Linked DNA regions of Nothobranchius furzeri. The protein of the gene in region 1 purifies or fractionates together with the protein of each later gene. This does not show direct contact. Links are inferred from orthologs where the notes say so. Each region holds a gene or a part of one and is shown in the gene's direction. Other genes may lie near its edges.

Region 1 (8,210 bases):
GTGCGTTTGAGCTAGGAATGTCAGGGCATGGTGAAAGTGAATCCTCAGACAATCCCGGGATTTTCAGAGGCCTGGTTGACTTGATGGCATCCAATGATCGAGGTTTGAGGGAACACCTTGAAAGTGCAACTGTGTTTAAAGGCACTTCGACAACGATTCAGAACGAGCTCCTAGACTGTGTGCTGGCTGTTCTGAGAGAACGGATCGTGGAGGAAGTAAACACAGCGAGCTTTCTAGCTATCCAAGTTGATAAAACTACTGACATCTCCTCACACTATCAGCTTGTCCTGGTACTACGATACATAGACAAACGCAACGATGTACAAGAACGTTTTTTTGAGTTTATTAAGCTACCCAATGACTGTGCAGACCCAGTAGCCAACACATTATTGGAGAGGCTACACATCATCCTTCCAGAGGGACAAGAAAATAAACTGATCGCGCAGGCCTATGATGGTGCCGCAGTAATGAGGGGTACCACTGGGCTGCAGCATAGGTTACAGCTCATCTATCCACATGCTCACTACATTCACTGTTATGCCCATCAGTTAAACCTGGTAATGCAGCAGGCAACCTCCCACATCCCTGAAATCAGTCGCTTTTTTTCTGACATGGCAGGATTTGGTTCTTTTTTTGCTAAATCACTCAAAACGGCTGCTGTGCTCGGTGAGGTGACTCACCAAGTGCCAAACACATTAACATGCTGGAATTTTGGCAGTGGGGCCGTCAGCACTGTGTATGAGCACAAGGACGATCTGGTGAGATGTTTTGAGACCATCCGGGACAGAGAAAGCTTTGATGACACTACGACACGAGAGGCGGGCAGCTTTGTGAGAATGCTGGAGGATGAAACTTTCTGTTTCTTCCTTTCCTTGTTTCACAAGATCATGCCACATGTGGACTTGCTGTACAGCGAGTTACAGAAGACGAACATTGATTCTGACTTCATTGCTGGTGTCATCCAGAATTTCATTAACAGCATGCAGACTATCAGGTAGGCTAAATGTGTTCATATGTAGTCTAGCCTCATTACGCATTGTTTTCAAACGATGAATCCGTTAAGTTGATAAATATAATTGCTATAAAACAACATTAGGTTTGGTTAATATATCCCTAGACAGTTTTTATGACTTATTTATGAAACTTCTGTTTTGGATCAGAGAGGCCATTCCTTTTCTGGTTAAGGAGGAGGCATTTGTGGTACCTATTCAGGAGCCACCCAATAAGAAATGGAAAAGAATGGGAGAAGACATGCAGCACCATTTTGCTCTGGAGGTAAACACTTTGATTTCAGATCATAAAGTGAAATCTTATGTGGATGCAGGCCATCTGGGATGGTGGTCTAGTCTAGAATGAAAGGTGCGTTGTCATATTATGATATGAATAAAGCCTGGTTCGTGCTTCTCCGTCAGCTCCGCAAGGGACAGACATGCACGGATTGACGGAAGCGTTTTGCTCATACTTCTCCGTCTCCTGGAGAGTGTTGCAAAGCAATTGCCCGCCAGGACCACAGAGGGCGTAGCGCTTTTCTGTGGTATCCTGTCATGTATCGGTCCAAGATAGTGTGTTAATATTGTGTGTTTTGTGTATATAAGAGACTTTTTAACACAGACATATTTGTCTCTCATTCTCCACCTCTTCATGCGCTCGCCACCTCTAAACCCACGTTTCCTGTCATTTCCGTCCACAAATAAAATGCTTGCTGCATATCTTTTCACTCCTCCAGTCATGGGAGAATGAAACATTCATGTTTTTAGAGTGTTTTCGCGAGGTATTCTTCAAGCTTCTCCGTGTCTGCCGCTTGTTATCCTCGGCTCTCTTTATGTTTTTGAGGGCGCAATGGCGGCGCTGTAGACAACAGCGGCGTCCTGACCAATCACAAGCTTGCATTGTCTGTCTCGACTGACGGATGTTTAGAAAAGAGAGTTCGACTCCGTCCGTCCTTGCGAAGCTCTCCGGCAGCTCCGCAAGGACGTTGCGTGTCTCCGCACTGACGCAGACGGAGAAGCATGAATCAGGCTTAAAGCTTTAATGACCACTGCAAAACAAGACTGAGCTCTGGTATTGACGAAGGCTTTTGGACTAATGCGAGAGAACCACTTCATTATTTTTCCAATTTTTTTATCTCCACAAAATATTCACTAAATGTTAAAATGTTGTTAGGGGTATGAAATAAAATTCAAGCTAGCTTGTTTTGCAAACTTGCGAATGTGTTTTTGCTTGTGTCAAGCCATTAAACTCGAAAGAGAATAGTTGATCCAACTTAAATTGGTGACACGAATTTGAATAAAGTTTATCCAAGTTAATTCATTCAACTTGACAGCTTATTGAAAGCAATTTCTGAAAAACAAATGAACTATTCTCTTTTTGAGTTTTCACAGTATAGGCTAGCCTAGCCTTTCCACCGGATGCATAAGTGGTGCGTGATGTAAAAAAAAAACGGTAACTATTCAGCATATAAAAGATGGTGAGACATGTGATGACTTCATTCTCCCCTTTTAAATATTTTATTTCATTACATAGGTATGTGACACCATCGTGAGCCATGCCAAGGAGAGGTTTTCTTTCACCAAACACCTCATCAGTGCCACTCTGGTGCAAGCAAACTTCTTTCGAAAACACAGCAGAATGTTCCCAGACTCGGCTCTGGACACTGCGCTGGAAGCCTACCCGTTTCTGGACAAGGCCAAACTTAAAACCGAACTGTCCCTGATCTATGAAAATGAGGAGTTCCATAGTTGCAGTGGTGCAGTGGCACTCTTTCGAGTTTTGATGGAAAACAACCTTCAAGACATTTTTACAGAGACTGTAAGTCTTCTGAACATCGTCATCACAACACCCATGAACACATCAGAGTCGAAGAGGTGCTTCTCTACCTCAAACAGGATAAAAGTCTTTCTTAAAAACACTTTGGCGCAGGATCGGCTCAATGCTCTGGCTATGCTCTCCATAGAGAAAAAACTGACCCAGGACATTCGTGATTTTAACACTAAGGTCATTGAGAAATATGCAGCTCAGATACACAGACGAGAAAAGTTCATGTACAAATAAAAATCTTCTATCCCAAACGTACAAACATACATGGATTTTTTTTTTTTTTTTTTTTGCAAACACAGAAATACTCCTGCCTTCCTTAAGGTTTTTTGTATTTGATACTACTCATTTCCCAAGTATAAATTAAGTCTGACATTACTGTAAATTGTGAGTTGACTTTGTAACTAATGCTTTTGGGAAGAAAAATTAATTACTTTTGTGGAATTTCTGTCATCTTCTGACAGGTTTCTTATACCTTTTGTGTAAATCCAATGTTGTTTCCACCCAAATGTCATAGCAACAGTCAGACATGATGGTTGTAGTGTGATGGCCTGGTGCGGATTTACAGCTGCAGGACCTGGACCACTTGTGAAGTCTGTCTACTAAAAAATCCTGAAGGAGAAAGCCTCAGATGTGATCCTAGAAAGAGTGCAAAGAAGGCAGTTGGATGAAACAGAATGTACGTACAAAAGATCCTAGAAAGAGTTGGAAAACCTCCACTGTGCCTGAGTTAAAGCAGTTCTGAATAATTCCTCCACAGTGATGAGACTCCTCACTGGTGTCATTAATACTTGATTGCATGTTGCCGTCAATTATTTCACACCCCGTTATTGGGATTAGTGGCAAGTCATGTTGGTTTGGATGGCTTTAACACCAGTAAAGTAATTAAAAAAGATTTGTATTTATTTGGGTTACCTTTGATTTGACATGAGGAAAGAAATATTTTTTACATATCTGTATTTAGCATAATTTAATATTTTAAAATATGTAATATGCTTCACAGTATGTCAGTATAGCTGACGTTTTGCAGCAGACCTGTTCTAAAGTGAAGCAGGGTTCAGGTCAGTCTGACATTGATTTGTTGGTGTGATGAAGACATGACATTTTCAGTGGTTTGCTGGGTTCTTAAGCATACGCATTTCTGTTTAGTGACAGTACTGTAAAGATTTGGTGTAGCCCATCGAAAATATAAAATTAATATTAGTGGAAAAATACAGGAACGTTTAAAACAACAAAACAATCGTAAAATTGTGACAACTAAATAAAAAAGACCCCATAATCATAGCTTTTATATGATTAAATCTTAATATAATTTTTATTTAATGTATGTTGTACCACATATGGCCTATATAATTAAATGTTAGATAATATACATTTTTTTATTTATTGTGCTCTGATTGTAGTACCACAGCGTCTGATAGTCCAATCGCGGTATTTTAGCGCCATCTGGTGGCGACTAACCCGAGTACTGCTGAAAACACATCACTGTCACTTTTAATCGATATGGCTTTAATTTTTGCGCAAAAATTAAATTAAAATATCGATGGTTTACATTTAGAATCGTCTCCGAATATCAAGAACAATCACGAAGATGATAAATGCGTGCAGGACGACAAGTCCCACAAAGCATTGCGGCCGCCACGCGCTTCGTCACCTCTCGGAAGAGGTTTGAGCTTTCTATGTTGTTCGTTTCCATGGAGAGGTCACGCGCACACACCTGCACGCGCTGGGTTTGGGCTAAGTGAGAATGTTATCTGGAGCTATCAGCAGAGCCAGACAACGGAGACAAGCTACTTCTGAACTGGTGAGTTTAAAACCGCCAAGACAGTTTAAAAGATAAGAAAAGAGGCAGGGAGAAAAATGAACGTTGATGCAACTACCAGTAGTCCGAACTACGTTTCTCTCTTGAATTAATTGCGCGTATTGTATTTTATAGTTTTTGTTTATTATTGCCCGACAAATACTACCTAACTAATGTTAGATTATTTTAATTGCTTTATCCCATAGAACGGTTGAAAGTAAGTGCTGAATTAATTCATTAAAATAAAGTTATATATTATTGGTCAAATGGCCAAATGTGGTCATATCACACAGTTATAATCCTTAAATTGAATCTTTTTGTTGTCCACCGGGAAGTGACCTTGATTAGCTCCTAATGTCATGTGGCCTTATTAGACGGTAATTCCTTTTAAATCCCTCCTAGCAGATTGTAGGTCTCTAGGCATCTACCTACTATTCTTCTGCAGCTGCTTGTCTGTCAAACGAGATGCTTTAAATTTGCATTCAGAAATAAGCTGGATGTGATTGAAATGTGTCGAAAGACATTTAAAATCTACATTTGTTTTATGGGTTAATTATTTAGCTTTAAACATTATTTTTGGAATTCTTTGAGAAAAAGGAAATTGTTTTATATTATTGTTTCACCTCTTGCTTTTCTGTTTTTCAAGCATCTATTTTAAGAACAAATGCTAAAGAACATGTGCTTTCTCTACTGTAGCAGACCCATCATCAGATAATGTTCCTATTGGTCAAGAAGGGAAATAAGGTCAAACATATGTCAGATAAGCACATTTACCTCATTTAAGGCACACTGAGCTAATTAGTCATATTTTTGAAATCCTTTTCTTTAGCCAGTGTGTGCTAAAATTACCATTTGCAGGGTGTATGAAAAGCCTCTCTGCCCCTTGTGATACCCTGTTTGCAATTTTAGCCTCCCTGGATCGCTGCCTTGAAGTTTCAAAATCCAAGCTTGACAGCAATCCGTGTTTACTCCTCAGAACAGATGAGCTATACCTCGATAGCATTTATTGTAACATGTTTATCATGGTCTGAGCCTCAAAAGAAACTAAGGAAGCTTTTAGGCCTATGAAACAATAAATAAAAAAATGCCCGACCACAATAGGAGTCAAACATCGGGTTTTCTACATTGTGAGAGCTCAGAGATATGACTCCTGCATGTTTTAGATCATGAACACAGCTGATTTGTTTGATTTAGTGAATAATCACTCCTGTAGAAACAAATTAAGGCTGAGGAGACATTTCAGCAGTTACATTACGGATCTGGTCTTGTTGGCTTTATCAGAACGTGGTCTCCAGCTTTTGCAGAGTGTAAAGTGGCTGGGATGAGAATCAGCTCCTCTAAATCCAAAACCATGATCTTGAATTGGAGAAGGGTAGAATGCCTTCTCCAGGTCAGGGATGAGGTCAATCTTGTTCATGAGCGAGGGAAAAATGGAGCATGTGATCGACAGGTAGATTGGTGCTGCAGTGATACGGGCATTGTACTGATCTGTTATGGTGAAGAGAGAGCTGAGCAGGAAGGTGATACTGTTGATTCCTACCCTCACCTTTTGTCACGAGCTTTGGGTTGTGACAGAACGAGATTGCAGATACAAGTGGCCAAAATGAGTTTTCTCCACACCCTTAGCGATAGGGTGAGAAACTTGTTCATCCGGGAGGGGCTCAGAGTAGATCCGCTGCTCCTCCACATCGAGAGGAGCAAGTTGACGTGGCTCTAGCTTCTGGTCTCCTGCCTCCTGGACACCTCCCTGGTGAGGTTTTCCAGGCATGTCCAACTGGGAGGAGACCCAAGGGAAGACCCAGGACACACTGGAGGGACAATTTGTCTCTCTGCTGGCCAGGGAACACCTTGGGTTTGACCAGGAGGAGCTGGCCCAAGTAACTGGGGAGAGGGAAGTCTGGACCTCTCTGCTTAGGTCCCCACAACTCCAAATAAGTGTCTGAAAATGGATGGATGGATTACGGAAGTACGCAGTGAGGAGAGTTTCTGTTTCGTTTTTATGATGGTGAATTAAATTGGACATTAAGGGGTGCTAAAAGCAAGCCAAAACTGCAAAGTTTATCTTTAAAGCAGAGGAGTCTTTCGTCAGAGGGCACCACCTAGAGGCAGAAATAATGAATCATACATGAAGCCCCGCTCCATACTTCCGTGATTACAGCTGGAAGCATTGCTTCTCCTTTGTGAATGCTGGCTAATGCTAAGTGGCGCTCAATTCAAATAGCATGAGGCTCTATGGGACAAGGACAGGCTTATCAAAATAAAAAAGCATTGATGTATTGCCTACATTATATCACAGAGTACAGGGTCGGACTAGCACTTTTAGGATAAAATAAAAATCCCGCATAATTCCTAAAAGTTGGAAAACTATTTCTGCTTAAACGTATATCCTGTTTTTTTTATTCTCATTCTTTAACATTTTTTATTTAAACACCCTAAATTTAAGTTGGGAAGAGATGCTGGAACACACGGTTTTCTCAAATGCACACACATGCTTCTGCTGCACCAAGGTTCACCCACTGAGGCCCTAGTATACTTGCAGCTTGCCTATATATTTGAGTTTAATATTCTATATTTTGTTCCCTTAAAGCACAATTTCATCAACGCTTTGGACTCATTTCCACTCAAGATTAGCCCAACATGAATATTAAACACAAAACGATGAGCTTTACCTAAAAGGTTTTTGTGTGGTTTTAATTATTCAGAGTACTGAGCTGCAAGTAGTTGCCCGTGCAAAGTTGAAGATGCCGTCAGCAAGGTTTATTTGGCTGAATCTGCAGCATAACAGCTTGAACGCTACCCGATGGTCTCACTCAAAGCCTATTGCCAGGCAGGGTGCTGTGGAGATGGCTGTAGATGCCGGTAAGCGTGTCGGTGATGCAACAGCCTATTTACATCTCTAATCCGCCTGTGTCATCACCCTTGGGTGTTCATGTGTTGAAGCTTCCTAATGTGACACACACCTGATCCTCCTCTATGAGGGGAAAAACAGAAAGGGATCTGTTGGAGAGTTTTATTGACATTTGTATTTGTACTGATGCTGTTGTTCTCACTTTTAGCTCCCTTGTCTCCCGACCCATTTACACCTACAAGACTGAATCGATCACATATTTGAAGATGATTTCTAAAGCCCAAACTCAGGGGGTTTGTGGCACATTGGACAACTTAAGGATCTTCCTTTTGGACCGGAACAACTAAACTGCTCTGGAGATACAAAACAGCCTTTTACCCCAGTTAAAGACAACAGATGACTCAGCACTGTGCTCCCACAGCTCACCTCTCTCAGAACGAGCTTTAGGAAGCTGATGAAGACATTTTGAGACACGATGAATCGCTACACCACCCTGAAGCAGCTGGGTGATGGCACCTATGGTTGTGTGCTGATGGGGAGGAGCAACGAATCTGGAGAACTGGTGGCTATCAAGAGGTGAGGAAGTTTGCTTTTTAATTCGAAAACTTGAATATTTACTTGTTATCTATACCATGCTATAGAGAGTAATTTAGATACAACTGGTTTAAAAAGTCAATTGAAATAATTATGTGATGCCCATTGTGTCAATTTTAATTCAAGTTTCAAGTTTATTTATAAAGCGCCAAA
Region 2 (8,080 bases), on another chromosome or scaffold:
TTACCTGCAGATTGAAATCAGGTGTGCTGAAGCAGAGTTAAAACCAAAACCTGCAGGATACCGGCCCTCCAGGACCAGGATTGGGCACCCCTCCTTCGTCAACTCACACTGATTGGTTGTAACTCTGTAGGAAATTACATCATCAGACGTCGTCCAAAACAACTGGCATTAGTAAGATTAGAAGAGCTGCTTGTGAAGCAGAATGGAAGCAAAAGAAAAGAAGCTCCGACTGATGATATAGTTCACTGGGCTTTTTTGTCTCGCATCGCAGCGTAAAAAAACCAAGCTTCTTCTGTTTTTTACCTCACGCAGCTGCTCTCATCCTCTGAATGGATTAAATTAGGTTGTACTTTGACAGAGTAAAACTTTTAATGTTACTGAGGATGCTTTTTGGAGCTGATCAATGACATCACTGACTGCAAAATAAGTTGCGATATGCTGACGCCTGTGCAAAGTCCTGAAAGAGCTAAATCTGCATGGAGACACAACACCTGGGAGGACCGGGACATCTTATCTCCCGGTCAGTTTCCCCCTCCCAGAATTTACCCTGAAGTTCCGACAATGGAAAAACACCGTAGGTTAAACACACCTCGGTACTTGCACAGCAACAAAACCTTTGGCCACTCCTCTTATCCAAAAATTGTTTTCCCATAACTCTAAAATCAAGTCTTTCCACACACTGCCCTTTGGATCTGCGTGAGAACCAGTTTATCGTTCCCTCTAATCTTAAATGTTTGCTAACTTGTTCATAGAAAGCTAGCCGTACACACAAAACCCCACAGTCAGGTCATACAGGAAGTGTGTCCTGCTCCAGAGCCCCATTCTGCCTGCTGTCACTGAATAGCGCTCCGTTTGTGGCTGAGTCATTTGTTTCTGCTCCCCCCCACTCTCTTTGATTTTAAACTCTGCACTTTTCACTCCGAAGTGTTTGGACAATGCAACATATGTTTCATTGTTAAGCAATGCTGGCGTAAGCATTTTGTATGACACTTGATGTTGAAAATCCCAGACCGCTGTTGAAGTTGAGCAGATAAGCTCATCTACTTGATATTTTTAAACACCACTGGGCAAGTTTGGTTTTGCAGATCTCACAGAACTGCTGTAAATGACATTTTACTGTAATTCTGAATACCCATTGTGACATCTGATCCTGTTTTTATGTCATCAGGAAAGAGTTTGTTGAGGGCTGCAAGGCCATCAGGGCGGACAGTATTGAGGGCATCTGCTCACGCTTCACTTACATGCTGCTGGAAGCCCAGGTTGAAGAGAACTTCAAGGACCTTTACCGTTTCACCTTCCAGTTCGGTCTGGACGCCGAAGAGGGCCAACGGTCGCTTCAGCGGGAAATTGCCATCGCACTATGGCGACTGGTTTTCACACAAGACACTCCGGAGATTCTGGAACGCTGGCTGGAGTTTCTAGCCGAGAACCCCTCCGGTATTCGGGGCATCTCCAGGGACACGTGGAACATGTTCCTCAACTTCACCCAGGCCATTGGGTCTGACCTCAGCAACTACAGTGAGGACGAGGCCTGGCCCAGCCTCTTTGACACTTTTGTGGAGTGGGAGTTGGAGCGCAGGAAAAGAGAGGAGGAGCAGGCACTGAAGGCAAAGGAGGAAGAAGGAGGGAGGTGTACGGAGACGGATTGTCCTCCTACCACAGATAGACTTGAAACTGAGGGGAGCCGTGGCTCACAGACATGGGGGGGGCACTGACCAGAAACCATATTTGCTCTCGGGGGAGAGGATATGCTCTATATGTGAACTGTACATGTGGGAATCATTGGATGAATATTAGTATTATCATTTCAGTTATTCAGTTATCTCTCCTGGTATGTTGGGATGGGATTACTGCTATGCTTTATTTTGTTGAAAGGGCTCTATGAACTGTTGTTTTAAGCACTTCTATTTAAGTTATTGGTTTACTTTTCCCCCATCCATTGCGTTTTAAGAATGTGGTTGATGTTTATATATATATATATATATATATATATATATATATATACATACATACATACACCTACCTACCACAACCCATCAGAGTTAGCTCAGTGAATGGGCAGCAGAAAGCCGTGAGCAGATTTAATCTTGAAACATGGTAGATATAATTTGTTCAAGGGGGTCGTTTCTAATGAAGAAGGGAAATCATGTCTTAACTACCTTTTTAAAATCAATTCAAAGTGACAAAAATGAGATGGTGAATCAGTGAGTGGATGGTTTTATGTGTCCGTGTAGCAAGGGTGAGTTTATCATGATTGGCCCACAGATAGTAGGAAAAGGACATTATAATTCAGTCATAGGGGCATTTAAAAAAATACAAATTACAGTTACTTTGGCATACTTTTATCAGTTTGAGTACTTTTAAATCCCAGTTGGTTGTTCTTGTCTCCAGTATTCAGTGTTCTTTGACTTTTGAGTGCTACCTGAACAGTGAGCAGCTTCTGTGCTTTCCCATGACCCGCCAACACATTCTCACACCCAAGGCGTCAAAATACGACGCGTGTGACCAAGCCTCAATATATGACGATTCGGGACGCCCCAGCATGTCAGGAGACTATGATCAGGGACAAACAACTGACGCAGCGTCCCAGAGCGTCGGTGTCCGACGCCGGTGGTGAGACGGACATTAGAAGTACTTGTGAACTACTTAACCTTCCCCTCACCCCAGTCCTAACCTTAAGGTCACAGTTTATGGGCCTTAAGATTAGGATCGGGGTGACGGGAAGGTTAAATAGTCGAATAACGTCCGTGTGACAGCGCGCGTCAAACAGTGACGCCAGCGGAGCCACGTGACCCAGCGTGTCCCTGATCGTCGTCTCCTGACGCACTGGGGCGTCCCGAATCGTCATATATTGAGACTTGGTCACACACGTCATATTATGACGCCTTGGGTGTGAGAATGTGTTGCTCCCGCAACATCTACCATTTTCATGTCCGCCTTCTTTCAACAAACAGTTTTAATGTATGCAACTGAATGAGGTTGGCTTTTCTCAGCTGCCTCGTTCATTTTAATAATGGAATTTTGTATCAAAAATTTGGGTAATTGTTACAGAGGGATGCCTAAACTGCATTAAGCCTGGGCACCTCACAGAGCTTTTGTTGTACTGCAGGAGTTTTAGTCTTTACGTCCTTCGACTGCTAGACACTCAAAATATGTGTGCACACGTCACAAATAATGCAAGTACTGCTGCTGGCAATGGTTGCAATGAATTGCACAGAAACTAATGGCATGCTAATTTGCTGTACTTGGAATGCTTTGCCGAGATTGTTGTTAACCACAATATTACCATTTGAAGCGTATCCAAATTGTAGATTGATCATTATAAGCAAGGGTGTTTTGGAATGAGCTAGTTAGTCCTGCTGGTTAGTCAACAGACTGTGACTTGGGTTGAATGGAAGTGGGTGGCCACTATCTAATTAAACATCTAAAATGGTTTTATTTCATCCCCTTTTATTTTGTTTTTATAAGAAATGTACTGATTTATAATAAATAAAAACAGTGTTGATTTTTTTTGCCATGGAAACCTGTGTGCCTTTATTGTATTTTTCGCACCTTTTTTTTTTTTAATTGAATGGTGAGTTAGAGGGCATAGGTATGTCCGGATGGGGCGTGTCCTTCGCTGCCTCAGCTCTCCTGATTGGTGGAGAGCTCCCCTGGTTACCGAGCAACACAACTCACAGGAGGAAATCCTCCAACATTGGGTAAATCCATCGGTAAATACGATTTTTTTTACACACTAATAATGCAACTCTTTAGGAGTACTGTAAGTATGTCTTGTAATTTGTGAAAAAATGTACATATGAGTAACGTCACTATTTTTCATTACATATGTAAACATCTAGTCACGTAAAACGGATGCATGCTAACTCATTAGCGTATCGGTTTGTTGTTAGCTTTAGCGCGAGGTTGCTAATGTTGCATTGGCTACAACGCGAGCTAGATTAGCCTCTAGCAACACTTTGCGGGTTTAAAGAAGGAAAAAGGACACGATAAAGAAAAAGCCCATCGGCCCATCTCCAGCGATCAACGTGCTAGCTTTTAATGACAAAATCAAATGCCAGGCGCTGTCTTACGCTAACTGCACGTATGTTCACTGGGTTTATTTCGTAATTCAAATGTTTGCTCGTCATTTATCTTTTCTTCCACCAAGTAGCACCTAATTTCTTTGTGATTCTCGCACATATGACAATAAAACCCTTCTGATTCTGATGTTTAAAGGTGCACTTGCTAACAAATGGGGGTTTGTGGAAAAACCTTGAACAGATGTGCTACACGAGATGATGTCATGTAATCACAACCTGGTGCTGCGATGTTTTTGTCGGGTGTGGCGAAATTAAACAAGTCCTTTAAGATGTGTCAAGCAATCTTGAAGCTGCGTTTGTGTGTCATGCTGCAGAGAGGATCAAACTCAACTGGGAGTCACATAATCTCTCTTCAAAAGATGGGATAGTGTTTTCAGATGAGTCCCTGCAGCACGCCATGGAGAAAAAAGTAAGAGATGAGTTTCATGTAACGGCCTCTGTCAGCAGTGCTTTTCATGTCATACCTCATTCCATAAAATCCACTATTGAAAGGATTAAGTGATTCCACATGATGTGTCTCAGGGATCTATCACTAACCAGCATTTTCCTGCTTCTTCACATCTTTCTCTCTTCTCTGCTCCTGAAACTGACATCCTAGTTGACTTGTAAATACTTCAGTAAGAGCTTTGTAATTTCTTTTTATTTATTTGTCACGCATGAATACAGATGAAACTCTAAAACAAGAATATGGTGCAAAATTAATTTATTTTAGTATTTTGCTTTAGACTGAGAGACCATGTAAAGGCTCAGGAACCCTTTGCACGTGTTTTGGATTGATCATCTGATTAGAGTGTGGCACTTTATTGAACCTTTTCACAATATTCTAATTGTCTGAGATTTTGAATGTAGGGTTTTCATCAGCTGTAATCCATTATCATCACAGTTATAACAAATAAAGGTGTGAAATGTCTGGCTTTGCACATAATGAGTCCACCTCACTTCACCTTTAAAGCATAAATGAACATTTGCACTATATTCTAAATTTTTCGAGTTTCACCTGTACTGAAAGTAATGGAACTGCACGAGTGGCTGCATTGTACAGACGACTGATGCTCCTTTTAAAGAGGCTTGTGTTTTGTACGCTCAGATGCATCTGGAGGGATAATGACTGATGATTATTTTAATTTAGCATTGTATGCAAATTGCATAATGATACATCAAGTTCATCTAAATGATTACACAATCTGGTTACCTTAGTTTAGGTGTGTTGATGTACACATAAACACACATGATTTTCATTCTGACATTTGTCAACAATCATTTTATGGATTTAGTTGCGAAGCTGCACCAACACTTTTCTGGTTTGGAGTCAAATCACAAAGACCACATTTGTCTATCTAGAGATAAATTACTGCAGGAAACAGAAGTTGTAGTTCAAATTACTGCACAGTCACTGCTTAACCTAAGTAGCACATAACAGGGCTATATTACAACAAAAAGGCTCAGTTGAAAAATAAACAAGTATTGATGGTTGAGAAAAAGCAGTTGTGGCTTGGATTTATTTAATTTTTTTTCATTCATACATAGATTTTGTGATATTTCTAACAAACGTGACAACTTGTCACTTTACATAACTTTAACTGAAGCTTTGTTTACACATCTAGAGGAGCATTTTGCATGCATGAATGTTGTGGTGCGTAGAATTATGTTGGTATAGGTTGTAAATACATTTGTGTGTTCATTAGGAAGTTTCTTTCCTCTATGCTTTCCTGACTCTGTGTGTGTGTGTGTGTGTGTGTGTGTGTGTGTGTGTGTGTGTGTGTGTGTGTGTGTGTGTGTGTGTGTGTGTGTGTGTGTGTGTGTGTGTGTGTGTGTGTGTGTGTGTGTGTGTGTGTGTGTGTGTGTGTGTGTGTGTGTGTGTGTGTGTGTGTGTGTGTGTGTGTGTGTGTGTGTGTGTGTGTGTGCGCGCGCGCGTGTGAAGGAGAGTGAGACGTACCGAGGAGAGAAGCCTGCCTCTGCCGGAGATGACACTCTGGATGAATATTTAATTGACCTCCAGCACAAAAACAGGTGACGTGTGTGTGAGCACAGGCTGCTGCAGATGGACTGATTGGATTTCACAGAGGAAATGCATCACAGTTTTGTTTTCTAACAGTTTGAAGCTCTGTTTAGTTTGGTGCTTTTGTTTAGAGGAAAAACACGTTTTTATTTAAAATAGTAAAAGCATACATTTGAAAATGTTTGGTTGAATTTAGCGAAAACATTTTTAGACTTTTCTTCATCAGATACAGCATATAGCATTATTTATTTACATTTTCATTTATGCTTTGCAGAATCCTAAAGCGCCTCAGAGTGAAAAATCCAAGAGAGATCGAATTGGAGCAGCTGGAGCAAGGCTTCTCAATTTATCTGAACGGCGCTAATGCTGAGTCCAGTAGGAAGCAGCTCAAGAACCCCAAAAACAAGCCAGAGGCCCCTCAGCCAGCCGGGAGGCCTGCACGCACAGCCGGTATGCAGCTAGGCGAGTGTAAATGTTTGCTCCTATGTAAGACCTTGATTATACTTTCATTAGTTATTTATGAGCTTGTGCTTTGGGATTGTGCTAAAAGCTGCAGGTCCCTCTGTCGTGTGTAAAGCATATGGAGCATGAGCTAATTGCCACCGCTCTGCTGCTTGTTTTGTGTGAGTCCATGCCCGGTCTCAGTGATTAAACAATAGTGACAGTTGTAGCTGCCAGCTTTCTTCTGGTGCTTCCTTTATGTGCTGTGGACCATCTGCATGTACGAGTTTAGTGTTTTCTCTCCTCTGAGGCTATAGTCTGCAGCGAGTTGCTCATGTTCCTTTCTGTGCTGTGACTCATCCTCAGATTTCTGGATAAGCGCCCACCATCTAACTGAAGATAGCCGTAATCCGGATCAGTCGGGCAGGAAGAGGAGCCAGACTGCTCCAGCAAAGGTCCAGAGGAAAGAATGGGTGCAGGTAAAGAGCTTTGATGTCTTAATTTGTTGTTTTATATAAAAATACATATAAGTGCATGTAGTAACAATATCTTCTTATCTGATGTGTGCAGGGTTGTGTTAAAATTCAAACCGAGCATGGCCCAAGTTTGGAAATATCTCCAGCGACGTGCTACTCTGACGATTTTGAGGCTTATGAAAGTGTGAACATGGAGGTAGAGTGACAATTCCTGCCAAGACACTGTGTGTGGGTTTTGTCGTTTTAGGGGAGGAGCTGTGTGTCACACGCAACTCTCCTAACACCTCTCTGTCTCTCCCCTTTCCTTATTTCTCTTTCTCCATGTTTGCTACAGCGCTCTAGTCTGCGCTCGCCATGTAGTCCTCGGAGTCAAAGAGACGCCTGCAGGGTTTCTCGCTCCTTCAGCTCCAGAGCTGAGTGCCAGGAAGACCAGGGCAACCAGGAGCACAGCGAGAAGGTGCTCCTCAACCTCGAGGAAGTGAAGGTGAGAGGAAAACCACCCATGACCTTAAGATTTGGTGAGTTTCACATGTTACTGTGATGCTGCCTGGTGTTAAGTGATGATTTCAGATCTACTCACAGAGGTCAGGGAAATCCCTACACTCATGTCCCCTCTCTTGTGTATTTGCGCCTGTGTGAGCACTGATGCATGAATAAAAACTGTCTCTTTGTATGCTAGGTGTTGCGTCGGAGCCTGGAGGTTAGCATGCGACGGAGCAGCAGCGGCTCAGCAGGGGAGGAGTCCGACGAGGAGTGGGTAGAGGAGCAGATTGAGAGGGATGAGAGCACCGAGAGTCTGGATGAACTTGGGCTGCCTCTTTCCTCCTCCAAGTCCTCCACTCATTCTCGGACAGGCGGGAGTCACGGCCATTTTGACTCCGCAAACCTCATTGTTCTGGACTTTGGCCCCTCACCTAAAGGTAGTCTTTAAGGATCTTCTCCTCAACATTGACTAAACTAAGCAATCATACCAGCTGTTCGACAGCTATAGGTCTAATGTCTGGTTTTATTAGCGAACGCGTCCTCTATCTGCTGCAGGTCGTAAACTTGAACGTTCTCTGTCTGCCAAGAGGAATGAAAGT

The links.
Region 2: the proteins of mak (region 1) and katnip purify together in Homo sapiens (affinity purification with mass spectrometry; 3 studies listed by BioGRID and IntAct, with this or other methods). This does not show direct contact. The link is inferred for Nothobranchius furzeri from reciprocal best matches to the Homo sapiens genes MAK and KATNIP.

What each region holds. Positions count from the first base shown.
Region 1 is NC_091747.1:57,637,654-57,645,863, forward strand, and holds the start of mak (serine/threonine-protein kinase MAK), read left to right. Parts: upstream 1-3,830; 5' UTR 3,831-4,618; intron 4,619-7,671; 5' UTR 7,672-7,938; coding exon 7,939-8,039; intron 8,040-8,210. Other genes in the region: zinc finger MYM-type protein 1, read left to right, coding at 1-994, 1,161-1,275, 2,524-3,051. UniProt on the Homo sapiens protein: Essential for the regulation of ciliary length and required for the long-term survival of photoreceptors. Phosphorylates FZR1 in a cell cycle-dependent manner. Plays a role in the transcriptional coactivation of AR.
Region 2 is NC_091756.1:31,629,799-31,637,878, forward strand, and holds the start of katnip (katanin-interacting protein), read left to right. Parts: upstream 1-3,814; 5' UTR 3,815-4,041; coding exon 4,042-4,084; intron 4,085-4,396; coding exon 4,397-4,491; intron 4,492-6,003; coding exon 6,004-6,092; intron 6,093-6,355; coding exon 6,356-6,531; intron 6,532-6,888; coding exon 6,889-7,001; intron 7,002-7,092; coding exon 7,093-7,194; intron 7,195-7,332; coding exon 7,333-7,482; intron 7,483-7,677; coding exon 7,678-7,918; intron 7,919-8,036; coding exon 8,037-8,080. Other genes in the region: dcun1d3 (DCN1-like protein 3), read left to right, coding at 1,169-1,715. UniProt on the Homo sapiens protein: May influence the stability of microtubules (MT), possibly through interaction with the MT-severing katanin complex.